Linked DNA regions of Tamandua tetradactyla. The protein of the gene in region 1 interacts with the protein of each later gene in a pairwise test. Links are inferred from orthologs where the notes say so. Each region holds a gene or a part of one and is shown on either strand. Other genes may lie near its edges.

Region 1 (15,371 bases):
TGAAATCTCTCTATCTTCCAAAGTTAGCAACTAATACAAATTAAGACAAAACAAAACATACCCTGTATGGACTAAATAAAACAGCTCAGGGACTATCTGGCAGCTAATTTAGGACCTCTGCATAGATAAGTGATGGAGGCACATGGGAAGTTAGTCGATAGAGCCCAGGGCTAGAACTTAGGGCTCCCTATGTCTCTTTCTATTTAGGTCATGCCACCATGCCTGTAGCCACACTCTCCAGCTCTTGGCAAGACCCTGGATTTCTTTTAGCTGATCACTCTCCCAGGGGAATTTTTCCCCCCAGAACCAAGAGTACCACTGATGGGAATCAGGGCCTTCCTTGCAGCCTCACTGCTTGGCTTGGGGAAAGGAGGCTAAGAAGGAGAGTGGGGGCAGGAGGGGGTAGTGTATCATGGCAGGGCATGAGGATGCTTACAGGGGTTACCCTAGGCAGTGAGTTTGGGAGTGGAAAGAGGACCATCTGTCCCTCTGCTATGTAAAGGAGAAATATCAAACCAATGACAGTGGTGGGTCAAGAGGGCACGCTCCCAGCCAATAAAGGTTTGTGATGAGGGGAGTGGTGTGTGTGGAGGGAGAAGGCTGAAGATCCAGAGTCAAAACCAAGGACTGTATTTTACCTCCACTAGGTTAAAATGTAAAGTCAGAGTTAGCCCAGTGTGTGGAAAATAAATCCTCCTGGAGTTTTGTTTCGTTTTCTCTCTTTCCCAGAATCAAAGCAAAGCCTCCTAGCTTGTGGTCCCAAATATAGTGTATTTTAACAGAAGACAATTTCCACTCAACAGACCTATCTTGCCTTTTCCTGTCACATGGGATTCAGCTATTCTGAAATGACAGTGTACTTATGAGGAGGTGGGAGAAAAAAGGAGCAGAGAAGAAATTCTTTAAGGATGAAAGCTCCCATGTGCTCAAGAGCTCTTTCTTATGATTGGTAGCGAGGGATGGGAAATTAACGCCACGTTCGGGCCCCCTATTCTCGGACCCAGAGATGCTCAACTCTTTCCTGCCCCCTTAACTTTACAGGGCATGTCGGGTGTGTCCCCAGAAGGGGCTCTCAGACCTTTTCCCGCGGACCCGAGGCAGAAGCAGGGGTTACAGCCCCACCCGCAAAAGCCAGGAGGTGGGCATGGGGGTAGATGAAGGGCAGCACCCCGGACAGGCAGGGACTGAACCCTTCACAGCTTGAAACGCCAGCGGAAGGGCAGCTCCTCCTACCCGGCCCTCAGATTCCGCGGGCGCCTGGGCTTGGCTCACTCAGTTCTGCTTGTCCGGCTGCACGACAATGACGGCTGCAGAAGCTGAGCGGGGACCTGGCGCGAAACGGACCATTAAGCCACGAATGGCGGCTGGGGGGAGAGGGCTATTTATAGAACAAAGAGCGACTGCCGCCAGCTGCCCCAGCTCCGGAACGCGGCCCCAGCCTCGTCCCGCGGGCCTCCAGTGCTGGGGCGAGGGCCAAACCCTGGGGCCGGCCAGAGACAAGGCAGGGCCTTCCCTGGAAAAATAGCTAGGTCCCAAAGTGGGCATTTCCTCGGGGTAGATGCTGGTTCCCAGGGTCAAGGGGATAGAGCCTGAAATTCAGGAGCTTGGCGAAGCAAAACGGGTGGGGAAGTGGATTCCGGAGGCTGCTAAATAACTCCTTTGATCGAAATCCAAACTGTCGCCGACCGCCCTTGGGGCCCCAGGGAGCTGGGAAGAACAGGCCCAGAGAGCACCCATTTGCCGACCGGCTCGCGGGCGCTGTGCTGGGCGGTGTGAGACCCTCGATGCGTGCCCGGGGCGGACTCCTCTGTTATCTCCCGAGCAGCAGCAGACGAATGGCTCTTTAATAAGCCCCTCGTTAATCTCCTCCACCCCCGCCTCTCCACCCCCTGCCCAGGGACATCCGTATTTTCTGGCCCGATAAGGCTAGACAATTTTAGACTGTGAAATGTACCAAGGAAAGCAAGCGCTCATTGTTCAGCTGGAGCCACTCAGCTGTGTCCCTTCGAATAAATCTCCCTTTCCTTTTTTTTAAAAAATTACATCCCTTGCGCATTTTCATTTCAGACCCTCATGTCTTCGGAGAGCAGTTCTTTCTCCTTTCCAGCTCCCCAGATCTATTTTCCTTCCACCCTGGCAATTCGTGCCTGACACAGGGCCCCACACCCACTTGCCCCCTTTATCTTCCCTCCGTGTCTTTAAGGGCACACCAGGAAAACCCTCCAGACTTCGCCATTGGCACGTCTCCCAGTTAGGCCACCGAGGGAAGCAGGCAATTATTTTTCCTATCCCCGAAGCCCCGAAAACGAAATCTTAATCCGTGATAACATCTTGGGTCAAAAACCCTCAAGCCTGAGAGGTCACTTTCAATTTTCCCAGACTTGGGGGGTGGGGGTGGGGGTGAGGTGGAGGGGAGAAGGGGACAACATGTCAGCCAGTGGCTTAGGCAGATACCGAGCCTTTGGCCGGCTCTGCAGGAAAGTCAGACCAGCTCACGTTTTCAACGAGGCGGTCGCGGGACTCGCCCGCAGAGCGCAAGGGTGGGAGGCCCAGGTTCTGGGCCGGAAGACCCGGGCTGCCGTGCGGGGGCGCTGTGTTCACGCTCTTCCGCCCAGACGCGGCTCCCTGCGATGCCTCAACAAGGTCTCAGGCAGTTGGAACTCCCTAGGAAAGGGAGGACTCGGGACGGTCAAGTCCTGTGAAGGCACCGGGGCTGTAGCACTTTAGAAAACCAAACCCAAGAGCCGCACTCCTCACGAGCGTCCCACTCTTCCAAGCCGAAAGGCACCCGTGGGCCCTTTGACTTACCGCAAATCTTGAGTCCCAATTTTCTGGTGCATCCATGGGCCACGCCACACCAAGTGTCATACGCTAGGATTAATAAAGAGCGAGAGAGGTGCTGTCAGTGAGGCTCGGACTATGGGGAACAGGGTGGAGGGTAAAAGTTTTCTCGGGGGTGGGGGCGGTGTCTTCGCTAGTGTTCCATATTAAAAGCCCCTTCCTGAAAGGAGCGGGAAGCCAAATCTGCAGTCAAACGGGCAAGCTCGTGCCCTCCGAGCCCCATTCACAACCTCTTCCTCTTCCTACCTTTAGGTACAACGGCATTTCTGAGATGCAGCGTACCCAGCGCCCCAGGATGCTGGAAGCCGCCGATGTGGGATAGGGAGGGGCTGACCTCAAGCGGAAAGGACCCGACCCGGCCCCGCCCAACACCCACCGGCCAGGCCTGTTCCCTTGGTCTCGGCCCCGCAGGCTACCACAGCGGCCCCGGAAAGGGAACACAGAGGCATCTGGGACCGAAACGTCTCATCATTTCTTGGCGGGTCTCCAGCCGAGTGGCAGCTTAAAATAAACTGGCATGAAATGGGGTCGCGGAAGAGTTCAGGAATTAATTGGGTGAAAAATAGTATTTGACTAGATGATCGGGCTCGCATGGCTGCCCTTCACTCGGACCAGGGAGGCGGGAAGACAATGGTGCACCTCCCGTCTTCAGTCCCGTCGCCCTCCCCCAACCTGCCCCTCATTAACCCTTCCCTCCGACATCTCTGCTCTGGAGCAGGCGAAGACAATTTTTCTTCTTTACCAGGCTATTTGTAAACCCGTGAGAGTCTACCTGCCTTGGGGTTTAACTTCCAACAAAGAGCGAGGAAAGCTGCCCCGGGCCTGCGGAGTGAAATCTTCTTCAATCCCCGACGCTCCGACACTCTGACCCCTACCCCCCATCCCACCTCACCCCACCCCACCCCACCCAGACCCGACCCTCCAGCGCGAGTGCTGGCTGCGATAAGGAGAGTGACATTCATTAAACCCCAGGCACAACAGAGCCCCAGAGGGGAGCGGAAACAGCCCGGTGTCGGTAAGACATCCCAGATGGGTGCGGGAAAAGATCTATTTCTACCTGATAAACTGCTTTCACTTTAAACACCATTTCCTCTCATCCTTGTAACAAACCTCTGAAATTGGCAGGAGGAGTGTTAATCTAAGACCAATTTACAAATAAAATCATTGAAGCTCAGAGAGGTTTTGCGAGTTTTCCAAGGTCATTCAGAGTTCAAACACCTTGCACTGTCTTTCAGAGTTAGGGGTTACAGTGAACAAAAGGGAAAGGCAGATGGGGACAAGGAGCGAGAGAGCCCCTTTAATGCAGGGGGAAGCCCAAGTGGCGGACTTCATCCCCGAACCAGGGGTTGCTGAGCAAAAAGCCAAGTAAAGTTGTGCGGGCTGAACAAGGCCACCTCAGGAGACCTTGCAGGAGTGGAGAAGAGCTGCCTGGGCGCAGAGGGTATGTCTGCAAGGAAGGGTGAGAATGCGTGGAGAGCCGGGCATATGCGAGCAACCAAAGGGCGCCGACGCCCAGGATGGTCTGTTAGGGGGTGGGCGGGCAGCAGTGGTCCATGGGACAGGGGCAGCCTGCTCTCCCTGGACGCGTCCCTCAGCTCAGAGGCTCTGTTCTGTGCTAGGGCTCCCGCGCACTCGGGTCAGAGCCTCTGCTGGGTTTCCGAACCCAAGCCGGGTATAAGCGCCCAGCCACGGGCGGTCGTGGGGATGTAGAAGCGTCGGGCGGAGGGGGAGGGCTCAAGGATGAGTGAACACAACGGCCTCCAAGCCTCTCCAGGCAGCAAATAATAAATAAATAAATAAATAAATAAATAAATAAATAAATAAATAAATAAATAAAAAAGGGGGCGGGAACGTAGCGAGCACAGGAAAAGGAGGCTAGAGCAGAGAGACAAAAGGCACGGAAGCCTCGCGTTCCTCCGGGCCTGCTCCGGCCAGTTTGGCCTTCAGTGCCGGACTCGCGTGCCACCAAGGCTGGGCAGCGCTCCCGCGTCCCTCTCTGTTGTGCGGTTAGTAATTATAGTCCGCCCCGGGAAAGGGAGCTGCAAAGGGAACTGGAACGAGGCCTGAGGACTTAAGGCCTTCTGCCCAGGAACCAGTGGCAACGGCAAGGGGCTGGAGAGGGGGCTTAGCCCGTAACACTCCGGTTCGTTGATGGGGACAATTGACGTTTTCTCAAGCTGATGGACAGTGCCACAAAAGAGCTACAATCAGCCCTCCTTCTAACCCAGTGTCGTCCCTCAGCCCCTCCTACATAGAAATTCTGGGGTCATCACTCTGGAGCTGATAGATTTGAGGAGGGAGAGGATTTCATTCCAATATGGAGAAGGAAAAACAATTCCCTTGTCTCCACACGCCTCTACCGAGAGGTAGAAAATCAATCTGAATTAAAGGCAGATTCTGGAAACGAGTTGAGAAGCGCGCTGAACTAGCGGTGAGGAAGCATAAATCCTTCCCCCTGTTATCTGGTTTCTCCCTTCTTTCCCCCTCTTCCGGACGTATCACCTGCTGACAGGATTCCTCTGCCCAAGAGATAGGAGAGTCTCCGCCCGCCCTGGCAAACCTTCCTACCGCCTCCCCCCAAACCTACCTCTCCACATTCAGTATGCTGCTCGCTCCTTTTTTTTTTTTTTTTTTTTTTGGTCTGTCTCAGAGATGTAATTAATAGTCTGAAATGTCGAGCATTAGCCTCAAATCATTTTATGCACCTTTCCCGCCCCTGGCTTCTCCCTCACTCAATAGCTCGACGCAAATTTGGAGCAATTAGGGACCCTGAGTTTTCTACAAGCTGCAATTAACGTCGAAATTTCCGCTGATTACAGACTTTCAGCGCAGCGCAGGGGGAAAGGAGGAGGGGGTCAGATCTCGACTCAACGAAAGCCGGAGACAGAAAACTCTATTCCCGCTGGGGCTCCCCGCCCCTCACATTTCCCCCAGCGCTGACCCCGGTTGTTCCACAAGGCAACGAAACCACACACACAACAAAAACAAGGCTCACACCGCGCGCCCTTCCCCGGCCGCGGCGCCCTCAGCGATCCCTGTACCCAGACCCTGAGTGGCTTCGTCTCTTGAGCGCCCGTGAGGTGCCCAGCGCCCCCAGAAGCCGAATGACCTCTGGCCGGGCTCCGGGTCAGGGCCGCATTTATTTCCGAGCTCCCTTCATCATTTTTGCGCCCCCCTTTCCTTTCCGCCGGCGAAGCTCCCCGTGGCTCAGCGCCCCCATCTTCCCCGCAGTACATTTGACAGGAAACTGGGGCGGGACCTACTTGTGGGGCGCAGATTGGTGGTATTGGGATCCGCTCCCGCGTTCGAGGCGGCGGCGGACGAAGAAGGGGTCGAAGACGCCATCACCTCGGTAGTCCCGGGGCCTCTGCTGTCCAGGGTCCTCTGCGTGCCGTGCGCAGGATCAGGCTGCAATGAGAAGCTAGAGCTGTGCTGGTAGAGCCTCGGGGGTCCCGCGAGCTAGAAACGGCTAAGCCGCTGGGGGCACGGACGCTCTCCTTGGAGTCGGGGAGCCGAAGAGAGAGGAGGGAGGAAGGGCAACCAACTGGCTGGGCTGGGGTGCGCCGGGGGGAGGGGGGAGACGTGCGCGCTAGCTCAGGGACTGGGGCGCCCGCAACGTAGACCCGGGCGACTCTCCACTTTGGCGGAGAGGAGACCTGGAAATGCTGCTCTAAGAGGTTTCAAGCCCAGCATGGGACCCAGGGATGCGGGGAACTGGGCTAGAAAGCAAGGGAGGCTCAGTGTGCGTTTTCCCAGCCGAGAGCGACAGGCGCCACTGGGCACTCAGCAGCCGGAGCACCAGAGAGCAAGCAGGGGGAGGGCGCACGGGGAGGGCACGTCTGACTCTGTGTCTGGTTCCAGTTGTTGTGTCTGGCTAATTCCCTGGAAAGAAGAACGCGAATTGCCCCGGGGACCGGAGACTTTGCTGAGATAAGGTGAGGAGGATAAGAGGTCGATTCATTCATGTTCTTCCTCAAACTTGGCCGGGGAAGGGCCACAGTCATCCTGTACCCCAGACAGCCAGAAAGCAGTGAGTCGGGACCTCGCTTGTCTTCCTGTGATCCCACCCCTCTTTGAGTCACCTGGAAGCCTAGGACGAGGCTCGGTCTCTGTTTGGGTGTTTCTCCAATTGCCCAGCTCCGCCAAGGACCCAAGATTTCTCGCTATACAAAGCCCGAGAGGTTATAGGAAGCAAGAAAGGGGAGCGTCACTGGGGAAATGAACTTGCGACCAGCGCGCAATAAACAGCGACCAAGGATCGCTGCGCGGCGTCCCTAAGCCGCGCGCGGCGCTGGCGCTGGCGCTGGAACGGGTTAGATGGCGTCCGAAAGACCCAGGACAGAGAGAGTGAGGGTGAATCTGGGTATACCTAAGACCCCGCAGAGAAGCGCCTACAGCCGCCGCCTCCACTCGCCCCCAGCCTCACAGCTAGCTCGCGCGCGCACACGTACACGCACACGCACGCAGCCCACAGTAACGCTAAAGACCCGCAGACCGCAGCTGCTGGGGAAGTAACAGGTTTCCGCTGTGAGTCGCGCCTTCAGCTACTACTGCCCAGGCACCATTTGGCTAGGTGGGCGCTTTCAGCCGAGGAACATAGGAGAAACCGCTCCGGTCCCACTTCAGCGCGAAGTTCATTCAGCCTCTATGCTTCGCCAGGGCGCGAATCCCGCGAGGAAGACAGAATGCCACCTACAGAGACCCAAGGGCGGGGGGTTGGCCGAAAAGCTGCGGACGCAGGGGGCACAGCTGAACAACAGAGGCTGGGCGCTGGGCAATCCAAGCGCCGGTACGCTTACCCACTTCAGCCCTGCAGCCACTAGCCGGGCGCTCCCGCCGCTCCTCAGCAGCGCCCGGCGATCCGCTCGGCTCGGCCCTGCCACCGGCGTTAACTATCCCGCGACACCTCCAGCTGCCGCCTCGCTCTTGCTAGCTCCGTCCCGCACGCGAGCGTCAGGAGGAGAGAAGAGAGATTCCGAGAGGTGGCTGCTCAGCTTCAGGGGAGGCGGGGGCGGGGTGGGGGAGGCGGGGACCGGCTCAGCGGGGGAATCACGAGGCCGCTGCTTGCGGGGGCCGCTGGTCGGCGGAGTGGCGGGGCTTCTTTGCGGGTGCCTGACCGCCTCTGGTGCTTTATAGGGCGATTACAAACCCAGATCACGGTTTTGCGCCAGAAAAAGAAGACCCTATGAGTAATCCAGAATGTACTCAACACGCTCCAATTTTTGAAATAGGGTGTCGGATGAGTGGTGGGAAAAGATGATTCCTACGGAGAATTCTGCCTCTGAGCTTTTCTTTCTCCCTCCCTCCCTTTCCTACCCTAGCCCCCGCCCCCGCCCATATCTTTGAGGAGACAAGAGAGTGACTTTGCCTCAATCTCTTTCTCCTAGATCTGGGATTCCAGGACACTTCATATACGAAAACGCACGGTGGGTTCTGTCCTCGCTGGCGCTCTGTTGAGCCAGGACTGTTGTAAAAGCAAACGAGGCATCTCCATTTCCTTCTCCTTCCCGTTTCCTGGTTCAACTCGGGGCCTCTCCAAAGTACCTCATCTGAGCACAGCTACCTTGCGTCACGGAGCAAAAAGTCCTCCTGATTGATTATGTCTGAAGGTTAATAACACGCACGAGCGCCACTCCAGACACAAGGGGAATGAGAGCAGAGAGGTTGCCCCGGGGACAGGCCTTGGGGAGTCACCTGAGGTCGGACTGGGCCTCCCTGTCCTGGCCGACTCCCCTGACTCCCCCTTCGATTTCACGTCCTTTAAGGATTCTCCCTTTGCAAATATATAAACGCATTTAATGAAATGCCGCGTTTCGCTAAAGCCCCTCGTTGCTAAAAGACGTTCATGGGAAAAACTCCCACCAGAGGGCGCCAGGCGCCCAGAGACTCGGAGGCCTTGGGCTCGCAGTGTCTTTTCCTCCTGCGCCGGAACCAACACCTGGAGCGGCTGGTTGGGCTATTACTCCCCAGCTTAAACCACCCTCTTCGGTAGTCGATATTTTCTCTTCCCTGAGTTTCTTTTTATTTAGGGCAAAACAAAGTGGATTTGTGTGTGCATTTGGGTGACACTGTGTAATCACTGATTCCTTTACTCGTTTTCACGGTGATTTTTTGTTTCTTAATGTGGTGCAGCAGGCACAGTCGAAACACCGAAGATCTTACAAATCATCGAAAAATTCCATAAGGAAGATCGAAGATAACGCTGGGGGAAGATGCAGTTCGATCAGTAAGAGGGATCTCGCTGTGAGATTTGAAATAACCGCGTTGTCCTTGATATCCAGGAAAATACTGTCGCCCTCTCCACCTCACAATAAAAGCGCGGACACACTTTATTGGCAAACGGGTCCTGAACAGCGGGCGCACGGTAACCGCAGCCCCGGAAGCCAGAGCTTTGCGCTGGGCAGGGGTGGGCGTGTCGACTGTGCTAAGGAAATGTCCCTTCGAACCGCTCACCCAGCCCTTTTCCGCGACACTTGAAATGCGCGGTTTACAAACAGGTGAAGCTCGGAATTCCCCCCACGTCGCTACCTCGCGCCTTGGCTGAAAGAGATCGCACGAATTGGTCACACCAATCAGGGAGCGAGATTCCTTGGAAAGGAAGATTCGTTTACTTCACTTGTAGCACCAGACTGAGAAATTTCCAGTCACCCCTCCTCTGACCCCAGAGTCCAAAATGTTTACTCTTAACGTTTAATCAAGAAAATAATCTTGTTGGGAAAAGGAAATCTTCTGAAGATTAGGTATCGCAAATTAAAACTGAGTCCACCCAGCCGCGAGGACAATCTCCCTTCGCTTTCTTATGGTGGAGAAGGGAAGAAAGAAGATTCCAGCTCTTCCTTAGTTTAAAAATGTTTAAATTTAGTAATTAATTAATTAAACGCGTATTTATTAGTCACCTACTATGTGCCAGACATTATTCTCATGGAATTTACATTATCCTTAGAGCTTATATTATAGCTGCACTCTTGGATATGCAAGGAGTGTGACAGACAAGATCTCATGGCGTTAATTTAATTTCCAATTGCCTCGCATTCCAACTCAGACTCTTGGACTCAGCGGGGCTGGTAAGGGACCAAGATCCTTGGAATCGCCCAGTTCGTTTCTTGAGTTCGGAAGCAGGGGCCGATTCCTTCAGCACCAAGGGCAGCGCCCGCCGTTCAGGCCCACAAGGTCCCCTTTTCGTCCGCTTTCATCATCTGTTCTTTGCCTACCTGCCCCGCTATCCCCAGCCTTCTTCTACGACTGTAACAGCTGTTTGTTTTGCAGGTTTGGGGTTTCTCTCCCTCTTCTCTCCTCCCCTGGTAAGAATCTGGACTGAAGGTGGTTGTGATTGTCTTTCGGCTCTTGAGGACATTTGAAATTTATTTATATTGTTTCTGTTTTCGGCTCTTCTTTGTATTTTTATTACCCTGGGGGCGGGGAGGAGGGGGCAGGATGTTTGGGAAAATTGAGGGTGGAAAAGAGATATCCTCTCCAGGGAAAAAAAGATATCCTCTCCAGGTCCGGTGGTGAGGGGTGGGCCGGAAGGGAGTGGTGTCCGCTCAGCTGTTTGGTTTGCATATGATCTAAGGTCTGGCGCTTTGAAGAAAACAGAACAGAACGCCCAGAGGCAAGGGCAGTGGGGGTTGGGTTGGGTGGGGGTTGCGGGGTGCCGTATGCAACCCCCTCCGGTGTTTCTCCCCAGCGTTGGGATTTGTTATCCGGCAGCCCGGTTGCTAGTTCCTCTCCGCCGAGGACAACCTTCCTTTAGGTCAATGATTGCTGGGAATTGGGAACATGACCCTTTGCCCACATGCCCTTTCCCCGGGACGTTTAAAGATATTTCAACCGGATTTGGGGCAGAGACTTTCTTACAAAAAAACAGGGGGGTGGGGAGGAGGTAGAAGGAGCATGGGGGCATAAGGGCGTGAAGACGTGCTAAAACGGGCTCGGGGGGAATTTTTTGGCGTAAAATATGGTCCATGTCAAGGTGAGTAGATGAGAAACGTCAATCTTGTTTTGTTTTTTTTTTAAACGCATTTAGCATTTATAGCCTCCAGAAAAGGTAATTTAGAGCTACTGGGTTGGTTCATTTCAGCTGGCGCTTTAAGGTCTATTTTAAGTCTCTAATTTATGACCAAAAAAGAAAAAAAAATGGCAGTGCTCACATTTAAACGTCTGTGTCCCGAGACGAGGGCTGGGGGAAGTGTTACTTAACCTCACATTCTGCTTTTTTTTTTTTTTTTAAGTGGGAAGCAAGGTTCATTTAGGGTGTTTGAGTACTTTAAAGATAGTTCCCCCAAATCATTCTGGACTTTCTTTGGAGGACTATAGCTAAATCGACACCTCTACCCCGATAGACCACGCAACATTCACTCTATGGAGACAGGAAAGGGTTAAAAGAGTGGCAGGGAGGCAGGGTTCCTGCCAGCACATTGGAAAGGACTCCGGAAATTACAACAATTTCCCCTAAAAAAAGATAACTGAATTCCTCAGATAATCACCAAATGATCCCTTCCCCCCTTGACATTTAGAAGATGAAATGTTCTAATCAAGGAGGACAGAGTGATTTGTATTTGGGCAAATCTTGTGCAAATCTGAATATGCTTAATTCTTGCTATTCCTAACACGTAAATGAATGGACCACCAGGTGGCGATGGATTACAATTTCTAAGAAGAAACAGGCCCCACAAGTGAGCAGTTCTTCAGGGGAAGGCAGGTTCTTCCCAGCTCACACTCATACCCAGCCATATTTCACAAAAGAAGGGCCTTTTAAAAATGCTGCTGGATGCTGCTGGAAGTGCCCTGAAACACTCAGGGTCTTCTGTCTCCTCAGGGAAAGAGAAAGGGATGCCTGCCATCCATTTCTTTCCCACACAGCCACATCTTTAAAGGTGGCCTTAGGAAGTGAGCTGTCTGATTAATATCAGACAAGTAGCTGTTTCATTGCAAAACTGGAGACCAAGGAAATAACAGATCTGAATTGTAATTCTGACAGAGTTTTAAAGATGTAACTGTGTTTTCTGCTTTCCTCTCCTTAGTCTTTTCCTAGAATGGGGTACAAGAAAGATAATTTCCCATATTTCTTTTAGTGTAAAAGCTCTTGAGCTATTTACAGTAGTAGGTATTTAGCCTCCATTTTCAGTTAGGTATCTGAGACTGTTGTTTGTGAGAGGGTTCTGATTCAGTTGTGTGGAATCTGATAAACTTCTATTTCAGATCACATTTTCCTAATCCTGGCCAGTATGCAGGGGAGAAAACTGGAGCCTTAACAGGAGGAATTCATTGTTTTCACTCTAACCAGATCCCCTTCATACCAAGAACTTTTAGGTCAGAGCTCACTGAAATGTATTCTGGTCCAAAGTTCTCAATTGGATCATTTTTAAATCAGTTCCAGGGGATTTTCTCAACAAAGTTAGTTATCTGGAGCTCATTCTTTCTACTAAGCTGCAAGTCTGAGGTCCTGTTTTCTTTGCCTATAGAAGACCCAAAGAACTTGAAATCTTAAGCAATTCCTAAGTGTGAGGATTAAATGAGAATTACAATCTTCTTACTGGGGCTTGAGGCATATTGTGTCAACTTCATAGCCAGGAAAAAGTCAGGGACAAACATCAGAGCATGGGACAAACATCAGAGCATGGGAGGCTTGAATGATTAAAACTTTTTTCTTTCCCTAGATCAAGACTGTGTAACCTCCCTCCACCTCCAAACCTGTTGCTGTTGGGTGCTCAGATATGTGATTTTCTTTGGCCAGTGGAATGGAGCTAATTGGTACTGAGTTTGGGGGTGATGTGTTATGAATCATTATTGAGGCAATCACTAATGAATATGCTCTCTCATACCAAGGTCAAGAGAGAACTGAAGTAGGACCCAGGGAAAAGTCTTAGGATAGGCTACCCAGGATTTCTTACTGTGAGCCCAGTCTGGTGCGTGGTGGTGGTGGTGAGGTTAAGAGACTGTTGGTCAGGAGAGACACCTAAAGAAATATCAACCTACTTCAATACAGCCAGCAAAAGCACAATGCACACAGGTTCTGGTGAGCATAGAGAAGAGATAGAGCTATTGGGCATGGGTTCCCCATTGCAACAGGTCAATCCATGGCTGACACAGGGAGACGTCCCATGCACAGCACCCATCTCTTGTGTTCATATGCTGCCCCAGTGAAGGAACCCCACTCCCTCCCTGTGAGAGACAAATGTACCACTGGGGTATGAGCCAGATGTTGTAAAACATGCCTACCAGAGTCAAACTGTCTCTAGTGAATGTTTACATATGCTTGGGATAATAGAGGAAGGAATGCACCAGCAATCCCCTTATCAACTAGGGGTTTGTGTTTTATCCCGCCAGGCTGACACACTGATTCTGAGTAAAGGATGTATTTGTGGATTCCAGACCATGCTAGGACTACCCACTACCACAGGGACCTCTTTCTCTTTCCAAAACCACAAGTGATAGAAATGGTCATCCTTCTATTACAAAAATGAGAAATAAGTCTCAAAGAAGCTATGTGGGGTGTTATTTAGTAACTAAAGATATACCCTGTGTTGATTGTATGAATTCCCACTTAATTACCACCCTGAGGTTTTCTATTTTACAGATGAGGAACCTGAAGTCCAGAGACGTTACAGGACTTCCCAGATCACATACTTAGTAAGTAATGCTTTGAGTACTACTACACAGTGAGACTTCCCAGCCCCACCACATAACAGCCATTTGACTTTGGAAAAATCACTTAGTCTCTCTGGACTTCCATAATGGGATGGGTTAGGCACCAGCTGAGACCAGATGAGGTTTCATTTGAAATAATTAATATTTTGTGAATCTTCTCACTGGGGAACATCCTCAGGTTGTGAAGGACATGGACTCAAGGGCTTCTTGAAGTCCTTAAGGCAGCTTGTTACAGGAAGAGAAACAACAACTTTAAAGTCAGATGAGTTCAAATCTTGAGTCTACTTATCAGCTATCATTTAACTGTTCACAGTCTTAAGTTTTCCTCATCAATAAAATGGGGGCTAATACCATCTTTGTAGGCTATCTTATTTGATGTTCATAAAGCCCAATTTAGCAAATTCAACTGTGTCTGGTTTATGGTGTTCAATGAAGGATCAATAAACTTTCCTGCTCCTCCCCTTTAGTTCAACAGTGATTTTGATACATTAAAAATTTTTTTTCTTGGATGTATAAGCTAAGCATGATGTTTGTTTTATTTTATTGCCCATATATTTCAGCAGAGCTGCTGATCATTCTCTAACAAAAGACTTTGGGCTCTCTTCTTTGGTGATTTAGAAGGTTTTTGACCCACAAAGAAGTTTCATTTCCTGGAAGAGAACATTTTTGAATTGAATATTCAAACTCATCTGAAAGGGGTTAAAGGCTTTCAATACTGTTCCTATGTTAACTTCCCAATACATATTTTTACCATAGACCTCTCCCCAACATTCCAGGTTGGGTAGATTCAACTGAATTCTACACTTGGATTTCTAATAGGCACCTTAAACTTTTTTTTTTTTTTTAAAAAGGAAGTTTGGGGAAAAGGATAGGGTACCAAATTGAACTCCTGATCCTTTTCCCCAAGCTTCCTTTTTTTTCTTTTTACAGTGTCTCCATCCCAGTAAATAAAAACTAAATGCAATTTCATCTTTCCTTTTCATCTGGATCAAAACCTTGAAATATCCTTGATTTATTCCTTTCAGTGTGCCAGTAATCCTGTTGGCTCTACCTTCGAAATTTATTAACATGTTTCTGCCCTTACCCCCACTTCTCCAGCACACACAGCATGCAAAACATTAGGACATAGTCCTATCATGGCTTTCCTCTACTCAAAACCCTCTAACAATTATCCACCTCACTCAGAGTAAAAGCCAGTCTTTATAATGCTACAAGGCCCTACATGATCTGACCTTGTCTGTTTTTTGGGTGTTTTTTTGATCTCTTCTTCTACTATTCAACCCCATCCTCACTCTTCCCCAGCAACACTCACCTCCTTGATGTTTCATGAACATTCTAGGCATGTTCCCACCTCAGGGACATACATGAAAGCACTTCCTGCAGGTATATGTAGGTTTATTTCTTCTCATTCTGGTCTTTGTGCAAATTTTCAAATGTCTCTTTCTCACTGAAGCCTTCTGTTGTAGACTGACTTAGGTACCCTAAGAAAAGACATGTCCTTAATCTTAATTCATGTTCCTGTTGGGTGTGAACCCATTTGTAAATAGGAGCCTTTGAAGATGTATGATCAATTTTTTAGGTATGGCCAAACTGAATGAGAGTGGGCCTTAATCAGTATGACAGGAGACCTTATTAAGAAGGGAAATTCTGAGGCAGCAAGAGGAGCCAGGAGCCAGAAGTTAGACAAGACCATAAAGGAGACCAAGACACTGCCACGTGATAGACGGCTGCTGTTACCAGGCGGCTACTGACCCCCCAAGAGAAGCATGGCCTTGCCTATGCTTTGATTTGGGACTTCTGGCCCCTAAAACTGTGAGCCAATAAATCCTTATTGTATAAGCCAACCCATCGTGTGATATTTGTCATAGCAGCCCTGGCAAAAA
Region 2 (15,429 bases), on another chromosome or scaffold:
ATTTTTTGCTGGCATCTAGACATTCAATTTCCTTAATTAGTTTATTCTGGAGATTGTTTTCATTTTTTTTTACCTAGGATTTTCTTGCTGGATGAGTTTGTTGTCTATCTGTATTTTGACATTCATTTCAGCTTTTTCTGGACCTCTAGCTTAGGTATTAACAGATCATAATTTTTCAGTTCTTGTTTCTTGCCCTGCCTGTATGGTGCCTTTTTATTCCCCCCCACTCTTAGGAGGTTCAACTTAGGTATTACAGACCCCAGTCTGATTTTCCCATTCCAGACTGGCCTCTTCGCAGGAGGGAAGAGTCACCTGCATCAGTTTTCCCTGAGGATGAGACCCAGCAGTTGAAAGACTTTCCTATGAAGTGTCTAGAATGGGTTTTTCTATCCTGCCCAGTATGTGGTACTTGTCTGCCTGCGGGTCTCACCAGCCTAAATTGATGCAGAATCTTTAAATTCAGCAGACTCTCCCTACTGGGGGCATGGTCGAGACAGAGGAGAGGTTGTAGGCTGGCTTTAATCACTTCACTTTTCCAGACCCTTGGGTCTGAACTCTTTGAGGGAGGGATTCCACCTGAGCTGGGCCCTGCTCTTCTCCTGGGAAGGTACAGCCTCCAGGGAATTACTTCCTTTCCCTTGACCAGCCTCTTTGCCTCTCAGGCAAGCTAATTCCGCCCTTGCCTGGGGCAGCTGGAGCCTGAGAAGCCCTGCAGTTGTATGCAAAGAGCAGTCAAGCCATAGAAACACAGCCACAAAAAAACAAAAGAAAAAAGTCCTTTTACAGCAGGACCCCCATTCCTCGGATCTGCCAATCAAGAGCTTGTGTTAATAGGTTGCTCTGTATATTTTCAGGTCCTATGTGCCCCTTCCTTTCCTTCAGGGCCCAGACCCTTTCAGGTATTTTGTCCTGTCCGATCCAAAAAAAAGTCTTTTTTTTTTCTTTTTTTTCCATCTGCCCTGCCCCCTCTGGGCCAGGGGAAAAACAGCAACCTCAGCTTTTAGTCAAGGTTCAGCTGAGCTGGGGGCCTATTTTCAGTAGTCAGAATTTGTGAACTAATTTCACACTTGAAGCCTGGTTGCACTCAGCCCCTGCTGCTGGGAAAGTCCCTTTCCTTTCCCCTCTGGGAAGCACCCTGTGGGGGAGGGGCGCCTGCTGCCACAGCTTGGGGAACTCACGGTTCTGGGGGGGCTCACAGCCGGTCCAGCTGGTCCAGACTGGGGTACGCTGTGTGTCCGGTCACTGACATGGCCCCAGCAGTTGTTCTGTACTGTTCTTGGCTATTTAGTAGCTGCTCTGGAGGACAAACTAAATCCCACACCGCGCTGAGCTGCCATATTGGCCGCCTCCTAGCCTTGAGTCTTGAAGATGGTTGTATAACGATATAGCTTTGACAGTGTGCCTGTGTGATTGTGAACACCAGGGCATGGACAGATGAGTAAAAAAATATGGGTAAAAAATAAATAATAAGGGGGATAAGGGGTAAAATCAATTGGGTAGATTGAAATACTTGGTCAATGTGTGGGAGAGATAAGGGGTATGAGATATATGGGTTTTTTCTTTTTTCTTTCTTATTTCATTTTCTGGTGTGATGCAAATGTTCTGAAAAATGATCATGGTGATGAATACACAACTATGTGATGATATTGTGAGCCACTGATTGTACACCATGTATGGACTATATGTGTGTGAAGATTTGTTGATAAAAATATATTTTTCTATTGAAAAAAAAATGGCAGGGTGAGCACATGCTGCAATCTTTCCCTTCTGCACCAAATCCAATGAATGAAAGGCTTAAAAATAAATACATAGCTGTACTAGAACATGAGGAAAAATCTCAATAGACCAAGAACTGTAAGAAACTAAGGAACTGAAACTGCAAGGAATGACTAAAAGAGGGCAAGATTAGATTGAAGAAAAAGACTTCTGCCCAGAATGCACAGGGGAACCAAGAGGAGAGCCCCCCAAGGAGGATGGGAGCATCGGTGAGGGTGCCCACACCCACGGAGGATGAAGATGTGAAAGGGGATCCAGGGACAGCTGCTAGGGTGGCTAGTTAGAGCACTGAAGCCAGAGCAGGGAGGTCACACTGTGTGTGACCCCCACACTGTCCCCTTCATGGTCCAGCAACTGTGTTGGGGTGTTGGGAGGAAGCAGTGAATGTAGAGCAGAGAGACAGAGAAACACCCGGTTGGGAGCACCCAGGAGAAGCTGGGAGTGCCCAAGCCCAGAAGGCCAGCTGCCGAGAAGCCCTACTTGGTGGCAGATTTTGCCTGTCACCACTCCCTCTGAAAACAGCACAGAGTGCAACCCTTGCCTCTTTTCCTAAGAGGGCTGTGCAAGTAGCAGCAACAAATAGTCTAAGAGAGAATATCAACTTAAAGATGGCTTTGCACAAGTGTCATTAAACTTTTAAACGTTTGAGGAAGAGAGAGAGACAAGAGATGAAAGATATACCTGGGGGAGCCGAAGATTAAAAAAACAACCAGAACAGGACTACGTGGCAAATTTGGCAAGTTGTTCACCAAACCTATTTCACTTTCCTCTTGGGAACATAGCTGGACCTTTCCCAGACTCCTTTGAAGTTTGGGGAGACTAAAGGAAAGGGGGCAGAAGCGATGCACACCACTTCTGCACAGGCCTGGCCCATAAGAACTGTCACTCTCTCTTTTCCCCTTTCTGCCAGCTGGAAGCGACGTGATGGAGGAGTCAGGATTCTCCGTCAGCTTCGGTCCCATCGGGTCCCTAAATGGCTGTGTGGAGCACCGCCACGGCCCCATTGGACTATATGAAAATAATAAACTTCCGTTATGTTAAACCTCTGAGTCTGGCATGTTTCTCCCCCCGTTATAGCAGCTAGGGTAACCTTCACTAGTATAGACTTTACACTTTCAAACAGATAATTTCCCTGAAGAAATAAAGAAGATTATCACATCCATGAACCAAAGCCAAGTGTGAAACAGAACCAACGAGAAGTTTTGTAAATAAAAACATGAAACCATTGAAATTTGAAACTTAGGAGATGGACTGACTAGTAGAACAAGAAGATGGAAGATTAGGTAATATATTGTCAGAATGCAAAACAATAGGGGATGGGAAAACAGGAAAAAAAAGGAGTTAAATGACATGAAGATGAAAAATTTCCGACATTCATCCACAGAATTCCAGAAGTTGATAACAGAATAGATAAGAAATGATGTTTAAAAAAAAAAAAGTCAAGAAGTTCTTGAAGAAAGACATACACACAATAATGAATCCAGGAAAAAGTAATGGGATGCAAGAAACAATCAAAAACAAATACATTAGTAAAATATATAATGACATCTAGATATTGCTTGTATAAAAACTTTAAATAATAACCCAAATAATAGCAACATGGAAGTTCCTGACAGGGAATTCCAGAAGGAAATTAAAGCTTGCTCAAGCTCCTTTGCTCTTCTTTACAGAAGGGGTGGACACACGTGCTGATTAACAACAGACATTATCAGAAATCTACAGTTCCAATGTATGCATTTATTTAAAGAATAACCACCAAACACATGGGAATAGGTTGTGGAGGGGCCAACTGGATCAAAGAAAACTTATAAACCAGGGGTGGTGTATGTTGCTAGCTGCCCCCCAAGTGTCATATCCATTTCCCAGTCGCAGTTTTGTTTGAGCATCCCACCCCTCGCTGACCTAACCTCAGATTTGGGAGGACGCTGACCCCACCCCAGCTACAAGGGTAAACTAGGCTAAGCCAACGAGTCTCCTGCCCCCTCTCAGGCCAGTAGTTGGGTTCAGGTGTGGGCATGGGAGCCACCTGTGGGCAGTAACACAGAGGGGAGGGCTGCAGGCATCACTGCCCCCCAGGGGACACTCGGTGATGTGTGCAGGCTGGAGGTGGATGAGTGTGATGCCATTGGCATCCAGTGGGTAGAGGCCAGGGGTGCCAAACATCCTACAATGCACAGTAGCCCTCCACAATAAAGAACGTTCTGACCCAAAATGTCAAGAGTGTTAAGACTGAGGAGCCCTGGTTTAAGGGAAAGCTATGGGTGGTCAGTTCCCCCCCCACTGGATATGAATAAGGAAGCCAATAGCCTTGGTGACCACTGGAGACTCCCCCTGACCATTCAGGGATCCAGCTGTGCCAGTTTGAAACTGTTGTGTGGCCCAGAAAAGCCGTCTTCTTTGATCTTCATTCAACATTGTTGGGAGGGAATCTTTTTTTTTAACTTTTTTTCTTAATTGACAAGCCAAAACAACATACAAACATGAAGCTTCTTAACAAACATCCCATATATGGTATACAATCAATGGCTCACAATATCATCACATAGTAGTATATTCATCACCATGATCATTTTTTAGAACATTTGCATCACTCCAGAAAAAGAAATAAAAAGAAAAAAGAAAAATTCACACATACCAGACCCCTTACCCCTCTCTCTCACTGACCACTAGTATTTCAATCTACTCAATCTGTCTTAACATTTGTTCCCCTTATTATTTATTTATTTTTAATACATATTTTTTACTCATCTGCCCATACTGTAGATAAAAGGAGCAACAGACACAAGGTTTTCACACTCACACAGTCACATTGCAAAAGCAATGTCATTATACATTCATCATCAAGAAACATGGCTACTGGAACACAGCTCTACAGTTTCAGGCACTTCCCTCTACCCTCTCTAACACACCTTAAACTAAAAAGGGGATATCTATAATATTAGGAATTCTCCAAATGGGGAAGTTGAATTTCCAACTGACATGACATGAAGTCGGTTGATGAGATGGTTTCCATGAAGATGCGTCTCCACCCATTCAAGGTGGGTCACTTACTGGACGCCTTTAAGGGCGAACCATTTTGGAAACAGCTCAGCGCTAACACCAGATTCAGATGTTTGATGATGCAGAAAGAAAAAGTCCCCAGGGAAGGTGTTTGAAACTAGAAGCCAAAGGACTAACAGATGTCAGCCACATGCCTTCCCAGTTGACAGAAGTGTTCTGGACCCATGGGCCTTTCTTGAGTCAGGTTATCTTTCCCTGGATGCCTTATCTTTCCCTTGAACACTATTATGGCCTTAGATCTGTAAACTTGTAAATTCCCTTTTTAAAAGCCATTGCTGGAATTGTATTCCAGCAGCCTTAACAAACTAAAACACCAGCCCTGGGGTAAAGGGAACACTGAGAGAGCAGACTGGAGGGATGAAAAGAAGCAGATTCCAGAATGACACTTACTATTGGTTAAGCCATGCTTTGAGCTGGGGGTTCTGTTACTTACAGCCACAAGTATCCTGATAGAGTAGAAAAGAGAGAAAGAAAGAGAGAAGAAAAAAAGAAAAAACAAGGAGAATACATGTGTGGTTGACAGAATAATGTCCTATCCCCAAAGATCTCCAGGTCCCGATACCCGGAATCTATGAATATGTTACCTTACATGATAAAAGGGACTGTGCAGATGTGATTAAATAAATGAGTTTGAGATGGGGAGAATATTAGGTTATTTGGCTGGGTCAAATGTAATCACAAGGGCTCCTGCAATGGAAAGGTGGAGGTGAGCGAGTCAGAGAAAGAGGAGATGTGACGACAAGAGCAGAGGTTGGAGTTATGTGCCTTGCGATGGGGGAAAGGGCCACAAGCCAGAGGAATGGAGATGGCCTCTAGAAGCTGGAAAAGTCAGGGAAACAGACGGTCCCCTACCACACCTAGGAAAAAATTACAGCTTTGCCTATACTTTGGTTTTAGCCTATAAAATCCAATTTGGATTGCTAACCCCCAGAAGTACAGGATGTATTGTTTTAAGCCACTGTTTGTGGTAATTTGTTACAGCAGCGCAACATGGTAACTGGAAAACCCAAAATAAGACGTCAGGAAGAAGTACAAACATACCAATAATTAGACAAATATGGGGGAGTGAGGTGCTAGGGTAGTTCAGTGGTAGAATTCTCACCTGCCATGTAGGAGACCTGGGTTCAATTTCCGGTCCGTGCACCTCCCCTCCACCAAAAAAAACAAGCAAAAATTCAACAAATGGTGCTGCAATAATGGGATACTCACATGGAAAAATGAAATGTGACCCCACCATACAGCATACCAAAAAAATAATAATAATTAAACAAGTATGAAACAGATGAATCTACCTATAAAATGACAGGCTTTCAGATTGGATTTTAAAACTCCACCTCTGTGCCATTCTTGAGAGGTAAAACAACACAGGAAGATTCTGGCTACACCTGCTGTCTCAATCATCTATTGCAGTGTAGCACACCGCCCCAAAATGTAGCGCCTCAAAGTAACAATGATTTTATTCGCTTATGATTCTGCAGGTCAGCAATTAGACCTGAGCTCCGCAGGGCAGGTCACCTGCTGGTTGCACCCCAATTTCCGCCCCCCGCCCCTCCTCTCCCCCCACCCCACAGGACACAGGCACTCACAGGTGTCTCACAGCTCAACTGGGATGAGGGTGGGAGACAGTCTTACAACGCTGGAGCTGGCCGCTGGCTGCTCTCTCTCTGCACGTGGTCTCTCACCCCAGGAAGGGCAGCCGCAGCTTCTGCACCTGGTGAGGGCCACAGCTGCCAGGCCTCCTGCAGGCTAGACCCACAACAGCATTTCTGCCCCCTGCTGTTGTTCAAAGCAAGTCACAACGCCCACCGTACTCAAAGGGGTGGGGACACGTGCTCCCCTGCTGATGGGAGGGGGGCAGGGCCACACAGCAAAGAGATGGATTCAGAGAGGGAAGGAATTACCGTGACATCTTTTCAATCAACATACCATACCTGGAAAACACTGACAACCAGAGCAGTGTAGCCATATTCACATCAGACAAAGTTGTAATCAAAAACTTTGTAATCAAAGTTGAAAAAAATACTAAGAGGAACTATTTCTTAGCTATAAAAGAAACATTATAGCAAGAAGATGTAACAGTTATGAAACTTTTAACATCTAAAAACATAGATTTTTAGCTTATGTACCAAAAAAACAAAAAACAAAAAAATCAACAAATTGTGCTATGATAACGGAATATTCACACGGACAAGAGTGAAATATGACCCCCTACTGCACAGCATACAAAAAAAAAATACATAAAGCAAAATCAATTCAAATTGTAAGGAGAAAATAACCAAAAATTACAGCAGGAGACTTTAACATACCTCTCTCAGAAACCAAAATATTAAACAGTTAAAAAAATAAAAAAGGATAAAGTAACATAATAGTTTGATCTCATAGGAGTATTTAGAACTACATACCCCACAAGCAGAGAACATACATTATTTTCACAGGTACGTGGAACATTCACAAAAAAGTACCATAGGAGAGATGCAAGGTAAATCTAAGCATATCCTTCCACCACCCCCCAAAAATAATATGTAGGCTATTTTTACTCACTACAATGCAGTAAAATTCTAAATGAAAACCAAGATGATAGCTAAAAAAAAAATGACAAAAAACCACTCATACATCTAGAAATTTTAAAAATTTCTTGCTGTCTCTTTTAACTCAAGAGTTGACAACTCTTGAGACAGCAAGACCAGAACCCAGATTTCCAAAGAACCAGTTATAGTTCATGATCTAGCCCTTTTATTCATAGAAAGATATTTTTCTTAAATATTTGGTGCATTTTCTGAAACAGTGACAAAGTGGAGGACACAAGGAGGGAGAGACAGATAGAGACAAACCAACGTGGACTGAGAAAGGAACTGGCTGGAGCAGAAATGTCCCCAGGACTATGGGTCGAGCCAGCCTCTAGCCTGGCCCAGCAGGGATTGAAGGGATCAGATGGTTATCAGGTTCAGCAAAGGGAGAGGCCTCCACCCACGCCTCCCCAGCTGGGGGGTTGGGGGGTTGGGGGGTTGGGGGGTGATGGTGGTGGTGCAGGACAGACACCATCAAGCAGGACAGGCCCTGATGAGCCCCCCTCCTAGGGCAGGCAGTGCTTCCTGACTCCGTGGTGTGACTGAGCAGCGGGGAGGGGGGCTAAAGGGAGCAGGTGAAGTCCAGAGGCCAAAAAGGAGCTAAAGGTCAAAATCCAGAAGGATTCCAGATGGCTGTGACTAAACAATGTCAGGACACCTGATCAAAGGAGAGTGGTCCCTTTTCTGAGCGTTAAAGCCAAACGGCGCAGCACGTTGGAGCTGGGCAGTCTGCCAGCTGAGTTTGTGAGGTCTTGTCTACACAGCACAAACCGGGGAGCCTATTCGACTGTAATTGTGCAGCAGCAGTTTAGGCAGTGTAGAAATCAATCTGAATAATCCCGACCTCCCAACTTCTGCTTTGCAGCATCAATTATCTTGCTATTTAGTTATAAAGTAACCACCATCCTTCCCTTTGTACTATGGAAGAGGACATCTGCTGGGCTGAAATCATTTCCCCTCTTTTAGTGTGAATGCATGCACCCATGGGGTGGGCTTCTGCCCTCGGAGCTGCCAAGGGGCTTTCCGAGACCGGGAGGAGGGGGCAGGAGGGCATCCCAGTGCTAAAAGACAAAGCCCGCGGAAGCCATCGCCCCCTCCGAGGGTCGTGGTGTCGCCTGGGCGTGCTCCTGAGACACGCGAAGCGCTCACGACAGCGCCCGGCGCCGCGGCCCCCGCTCGCCCCCACGCTGCAGCCCGACCACCGCGCCCCGCTCGGCTCCGGCTCCGCGGCACAGCGCACCCCAGGCTCGGGCAAAGGGAGGGAGGTGGGGGCCCCCCGCAGCCCCGCCGCGCGTCCCCTGCCGAGCGCTGCCTGTCCCGGGCCAGCGGCTCTCAGCAGCGCTGCGGCCTCTCTGGCCCGACCTCGGCCCTCGCGAGGGGACAAGGCGCGGACATCAACGGGGCGCCCGCTTGGCACCCGCTCTTCCCCGCCCGCGCCCCACCCTGGGGGACGGCTGCGGAGGGGTTTTTGTAACTATTTTTCCTGTACGGAACTGAAACTTAAGCCCGGAGCCGCCACCCGCGGGCTCGGAGGCGCGGGGTCCCCACCCCGCGTCGTCTCCGCTCCACGATGTCCCCGGGGCCGCCCCCCCGGGGGCCGGGAGGAGAGTCAGGCGACGAGCCGCCAGGCAGGGTCGGGACACCCGAGCGACTCCCGGGCTGCGAGGCGGCGCGGGCGGGGGCGCCCCTTCGAGGCCCAGAGGCAGGGCGGAGGCGGCGGCCGGGGCTGGGGCCGGGGCCGGGCCGGGGGCGCCGACCCCGGGGCTGCTCGGGCCCCGGCGGCCAATCGGCGGGGGGGCGGCGCCGCGCTCCTCCCACGCCGGGACAGGAGAAGGGTCCGGGCGGGCCGCGGCGCCGCGGGCGACCATGGAGGGGCCGGTGCGAGTGAAGACTTGGGTGGAGGAGAACCGGGCGTCCTTCTTGCCCCCCGTGTGCAACAAGCTGCTGTGAGTCCCCGACCGCATCCGTCTCCGCGCCGTCTCCGCCGCCTTGTCCCCCCCGTCTGCTCCTGTCACCCCTCACCCTCCAGCCCCAAATTCCTTTGACCCAGAAGCTGCAGCAAGGGGCTATCACTGCCCTGGACTCTGCATGCTGTTCCGGGTCCCAGCTCTCTGTCTGTTCCTCTTTCTGGCGTGGAGGGCTGGGACCTTGTCTAATGCCCAGGGCTGGTTCGCCCCCCGAGACGGTGGGAAATGGAGATGGCAGGGCTGCCGCGCTCCCCCCGGGACCCACAAACAGTTCTCCAACCCCCACTAACTCTTCGCCGCTTCGGGAACGCTCAAAGGTTTGGGGAGGGTGCTTTTAGATGCCCCAGAATTGCAGTGGAACCCAGGATGAAGTCAGAGGACCCGCTCCTTTGGGGGCGATCTTAGTTTATTTCCCTTTCCTGGGCCCTCTTTGCAGGCACACACACCCATTCCCACGAGACTTTCCCTGAGCTCCCCCTGCCTGTGGCACCCGACAGGGCTGACAGCAGGCGCTGCCATCTCTCGAGCAGACCTCTCAGGCCGGGCTCCCTTTGGCCCCATCACCTCCCTTCTCTTCCGGCAGGTGCGCCCCCACCTCCTGGCTCGTGCTCCCCATGTTTGCAGAGTCTGCAGGACAGGTCCAAAGGGTGGAGGCTCAAAACAGATAAAATCCCTCCCTCCTGCAGCTGATATTCTAATGGGAGGAGGCAGCCAATAAATAGAAATAAACAAGGGGTGCAGGCAAAGGCAGGCAGACCTTGCAGCCACAGAGGTCGGAGAAGCTGCTGGAAGTTTTGACAGTTCTTGAGTGGGCTTGTTCAAGAACTTTCCACATATACCTAAATTATATCTCAGTAAAGTTGATCAACAAAAGAAGGACCTTCTGAGCTCACTGGTGCCTCCTAGCCAAGTCCAAAAACCTTAGCTGGCTCCTGAGGCCTGGGGCGACCTGGTCCCACCTCCCCATCGTTCCTTAAGATACCTCCAAACCACCAGGGCCCCCAGTGCTTCCAGTTTCAGTGCCTTTGTGTCCTGCTTTCCCCTCCACTCCCTTCTCCATGTTCCTTCCCACTTCTCTCCACTCCTGGCAACCTTACACAGCTTTAAGCCCAGCTCAGAAACACACATGTCAGCTTCCTCATGCCCCATGACCTGTCCTTTCACATTCTGGCGCGTGATTCTGGGTGTGTGCTTCTCATTTATTAGGTTCTGCCTTCCAAAAGGGAAGGGAAAGAAAAGAGACCACATCTTCCTTCCTGTCCCCCTCCCTATCACAGCAGGCAAACAGTGCTGAGGGGTAAGGAGAGGGCACTCGGCAAAGATTTACCAGTCTAGGTTTGGGGTCTCAGATGCCCCCTCACAGCCCACCCCTGCTGCCACACAGCATCATCATCAGCGCAGGCAGCCTCTACACAAAATTGGCAGTGGCACCTGTGTGCAAAGGGCCCTGCCTACCCTGCTCCCAGCACTTCCCCTTCTCCCAGCAAAGTCTTTGCCCTGGTATCTGTAATATGGCCATGAGACAAGGCCCTGGAACCCAAATGGGCTTATTAGGTTCAGTGCCCACACCCTGAGATGACACCCTGCTGGGGGGCAGGTGCTGGCTCTCATATACATGTCTTTCCCTATAAAAGGTGACACCACACCCACAGCAGGCAGGCTTTGGCACTTGGGCACCCTTCAAGTTCCAAACAGCAGTGCCCCGTGGCCAGGACACCTGGGCCCTGGCTCGTTCTATGATTTCCTGGCTGTGTGACCCTCTCTTGGCTTGTTTCCTTGGCAGTAAAATGAGAGGGTGGCACTTACCATAGGCCAGGAACTGTTCTGCACTCTCACAAATAGTAATTCATGTCATCTAGGTGAACTCTTTGAAGTAAGGACCCCATTTTACAGATGATGAGACTGAGGCTTAGCAAGGTCAAGTAATGTGCCCAAGCTCAGTGGCAGAGACAAATCTGAGCCAGGAGGCTGGCTCCGGGCCTGTGTTTTTAAACCCCATGCCAGGCTGATTGGATAATGTCTGAAGCCTCTGCTGAATGTCACAGACCCGTGAGTCCCCTGAGGGGGGCCTGGCAGTTTGGGGAGAGGGAAGGTGCTTATAAGGAGACAGCTGGGGGGTTGGTAAAAGTCCCGGGAAGAGGAGGCCTCAACTCACTCTCCTGTCATTGTAGATCCACCACCAAGGCTGCTCCCCCTTCTGGGTCAGAGGTCAGAGGTCAGAGGCTAGGCAGACAATGTGGGGACCACACACATACACACAGAGGGACAGGCATTCAAAGACAGACAGACAGACAGACACACACATCCACCCAAACACACATCCAGAAAGACACAGACACAGGCAGACACACACAGATGCACATGTGCACACTGGGGTTGAGAGTGCAGGGAGACAAGGTGTTGGGAGACCCAGCAGGGACAGTGATGCAGAACTGTCGCGGTTACCTGCAACCTTCTCCCAGGTGTCCTGGGCCCCAAACAGGGGTCAGGACCGCCCCCCTTGTCCATTACAGGCATCAGGAGCAGCTCAAGATCATGTTTGTTGGGGGCCCCAACACCAGGAAGGACTTCCACATCGAGGAGGGGGAGGAGGTAAGCCCGAGGACTGCCCCGCCCCTGACCCAGCCCCCTGGGCAGGGAGTGCTGTCCCTGGGTGGGGGTAAGGGGGGTGGCGCTTCTTCTGCAAGAGCCAGAGCTTTGGATGGGAAAGGGATGTGGACAGATGGCTGACGTGAGGGGCAGGGGAAGGGACCACAACTGAAATCATAGGGGGGAGTCTGCGGCCCTCCTGGTGGGAGGCGCTCCACAGTGACCCCTTTGACAGCCCTGTCCTCTGAGAAGTCGGAGCCAGTGGGCTCTACGTGGGGGTCCCTGGGAAACAGCCGGGGATCCCTGCTGGGTCAGAGGTCAGAGGTCAGTGGTCAGAGGCTGGGCAGACAATGTGGGGGCCACACACACACACACACAGAGGGACAGGCATTCAAAGACAGACACACACACACATACATCCACCCAGACACACACCCCAGTCCCAGGGGTTCGGTGCGCCAGGTGGAACGCCCAGGTCTCCCCACTGCCCCCAGTGTACAAGGGCAGCCTCCCAAAAGCAGGGGGGATGGTAGCGGGCTGGTGGGGGAGGGGAGGGGGCGTGTCCCCTGTGGTCTCAGGAGCCAGGCTGTCAGCAGCTTCCTTGCTCACAGGCAGGAGGCCAAATCCAGGAAGGGAGGTGGGGAGTGGGGGGAGGCCGGGGTGACCAGGGGGCCGGGGTGGGTGAGGGGGACGTGGAGGGGGCGGCTGGGCTGGGAGGCCCCCTCCTCACCTGTAGGCCTTAACTAGCACCCAGGGCACCTCAGTTGACAGGAGCTGTGAGGCTGGGCAGACGGGTGGGGGGAGGGGAACTGTGCTGAATACCATTTTGTACCTTGAATTTTGAACTGTTTCTGTATTACTTACCCAAAAGTAAATAAAAAAATGTAGAATTAAAAGCAAAAAGCTGGGCCGCCCTTAAGGAGGGCGGGAGGCGGATTGCAGCTCTCAGAATCTCTGGTGGAGAAGAGTCCCTCAGGGGGCCTCCTGCCTGCCATCCTGCAGAACCCCCCACCCCCAGATTCTGGAGTTCACAGTCTGTCTTGGTCACCGGCCTCAGCTCCCACCACTGGCAGCTTGGCCACAGCTGGGATGGGAGGGAGCACAGCTATTTGGTCCTCATCAGGAATTCCCTGAGCACCTTTTTATGTTCTGGGGTGCAGGGGGACGTGCATGGGGCTGGGGGAAGCAGTGTTGGCAGAGCAGGACCACCCACTCCTCGCCTCCCGCAGGGTTGCTCCTGGGGGTGCTGCCTCCAGGGCCCCCCACCTCTCCCGGGCCACCCCTGTCCCACAGACACACCTCTGTGGAGCCCATTCTCCTGTGCGGAAAGAATCAGCAGGACAATCCCGAATTACAAAGACGGGGCCACAGTCGGGGGTGGGGGGGGTGGGTGGGGTGGGGAGGACCAGCAGCAAGGTCCCCCAGCCCGCCTCGCTCAGCCGCAGCCACTGCCCCGTCCTCCAGAGGCCCTGTCCTTAGCTGTTCTCAGAATCCAGCTCTCCTTGCCCGCACCCCCTGCCCCCTGCCCCACCTTGCAGGCTCCCCAGGGGCTCGGAGGGGTGGGGGTGGACTGGGAGGCACGTGGTGTCTGACCTCAGGTGGCCCTGACCCCATCCCTGGCTCGCAGCTCCAGCACCGCCCTCTGCACATGGCCACTGACCTACCTCTTCCCTCGGGGTGTCAGAGGCCGTGGGTTAGAGTCTGCCTGGTCCTGCAATCTTAAGCAAATCGTGTCACCTCTCTGAGCCTATTTCCCTGTGGCACATGGGGACAGCCCTGCCTGTTGGGAGGGAGTGCATTTGGGGTATGGGGGTGCTATCTGCACCCGGGGCAGGGTAGGTGCTGAATACACCTCAGTTCCCTGCACCCTTACTCACTCCCTGCCTCGCCTGCCAGCAAAGCCAGATGCAATGCAATATTTGTCTGAGCCGGCACATTTAATCTTCTAGCTTGCCCCAGGCCCAAAACATCATTTATTTCCAAACGGAGAATAATTCCTTTCGGATTGCCCTCAGCTGTTTGAGATTATCTTCTGTTCTGTGATCTGCACCCCTGCTCCCGGCCCAGCCTGCCTCTCATCGCTGCAAAGGCTGTTGGGCAGGGAGATGAGAGAGGACAACTCTGCTTCTTTCTTTTATTTTTATTTGATGAGCACTAATACCTTGAAACCTGCCCAGCAAAAGTTGGGATCTGGCACAGCAGTCACTCGGGTCTGTCCCCTCCTTTTCTCTGGTGTGTGCAGGGCCTCAGGCCTGTGGCCCCTTCCTAGGGACTATGTGGGCTCCTGCTCCCTCCCCCCATTGTGATAGCAATCCAACACACACACACACACACACATGCACACACAGGCGGGCGCGCAGGCTTCCCCCCAGCTGGGGAGGCGAGAGGTGTACCAAATGGCTCCCTTAGGGAGCCTGGTAGGTTTTTATCTTTTTTGTTTCAAATAAGGTCTATGGGTTGTTTTTAATAATAAAAGCAAATACAGTTCATCGTAGAAAACATGAGAAATTTTAAAAAGAGAGACATATACCTTGTCCGTCACCCACCACTGCGGGGAGCTCCTCGGAGCAGCTGGCCCGCGTTTCTGCACAATTGAAGTCCTGCTGGGTATAATTTTTGAATCTCACTTTAACCTGATAACTTCAGCATCTTCCATTTTCCCATTTTCTTCACAGTTATTCAAAAACATGGTTTTTAATGGCTGGACGATGGTCCTTATTTTGAATCTACTGTAAAATATTTACATTTCCCCTATTATTAGATTTTTTTATTTTTAGTTTTTGCTATTCCTCCCCTGACTTACAGTAACAGAGGCCGGCTGAGCGTCCCCTGTGGGCTGGGCACCCCGCCGACCTCCAGGCAGCTTCACAGCCCCCTCTGGATAGCGACTGTCATTTTGGGGAGAAAGAAACGGAGGAACAGAGAGGCCCAGTGAAGCGGCCGAGGTCCCACAGCCCCCAGCCGAGCGGAGGGCCGGTCTCCTGGGCTGGAGGCCATGCTCTCAACTGCCATCCCTGCCGGGGCAGCCCGTGTGTCACCACCAGGAACGTTGTGATTGCCTGAGATAGAACAGGTTGGGGGCGGGGGGCGGGGGGGCTGGGAGTACAGGCAGCCCAGCGTCCTCATTTGCCTGGACCACCCCACATGAACCCCCAAAGTCCTGCAGCCCCGGAACCCCCCGTGGTGCAGGTGAACCAGGCGGCTGGTCAAGGGGCAGGTGCCAATCTGTGCCCCATGGCAGACTTTACAACCACATTTCTCTGGAGTCCTCGAACTCAGGCCTGATTTCTCTTAGTGGATGCTCTGATAAGAACCTCCATCCCCTCTAATTCCTACTGTGATAAAAAATAATAATAATATCCTTTAGCTGGTTGGTGGGGGCTTTTAACGTGGGGCTGGTAGAGGGACAGGAATCTGCCCCTTCTTCCCCCCTGCTTGTGGGGTGATTAGGAAAGGGAAAAGTGCAGTAG

The links.
Region 2: the proteins of GAD1 (region 1) and HAAO interact in a two-hybrid assay, tested with the Homo sapiens proteins (4 studies listed by BioGRID and IntAct). The two-hybrid records come from large-scale screens. The link is inferred for Tamandua tetradactyla from reciprocal best matches to the Homo sapiens genes GAD1 and HAAO.

Annotation. Positions count from the first base shown.
Region 1 is NC_135329.1:142,412,939-142,428,309, reverse strand, and holds the start of GAD1 (glutamate decarboxylase 1), read right to left. Parts: upstream 6,219-15,371; 5' UTR 6,187-6,218; coding exon 6,105-6,186; intron 2,872-6,104; coding exon 2,809-2,871; intron 1-2,808.
Region 2 is NC_135343.1:14,357,042-14,372,470, reverse strand, and holds the start of HAAO (3-hydroxyanthranilate 3,4-dioxygenase), read left to right. Parts: upstream 1-9,208; 5' UTR 9,209-9,269; coding exon 9,270-9,349; intron 9,350-11,883; coding exon 11,884-11,962; intron 11,963-15,429. UniProt on the Homo sapiens protein: Catalyzes the oxidative ring opening of 3-hydroxyanthranilate to 2-amino-3-carboxymuconate semialdehyde, which spontaneously cyclizes to quinolinate.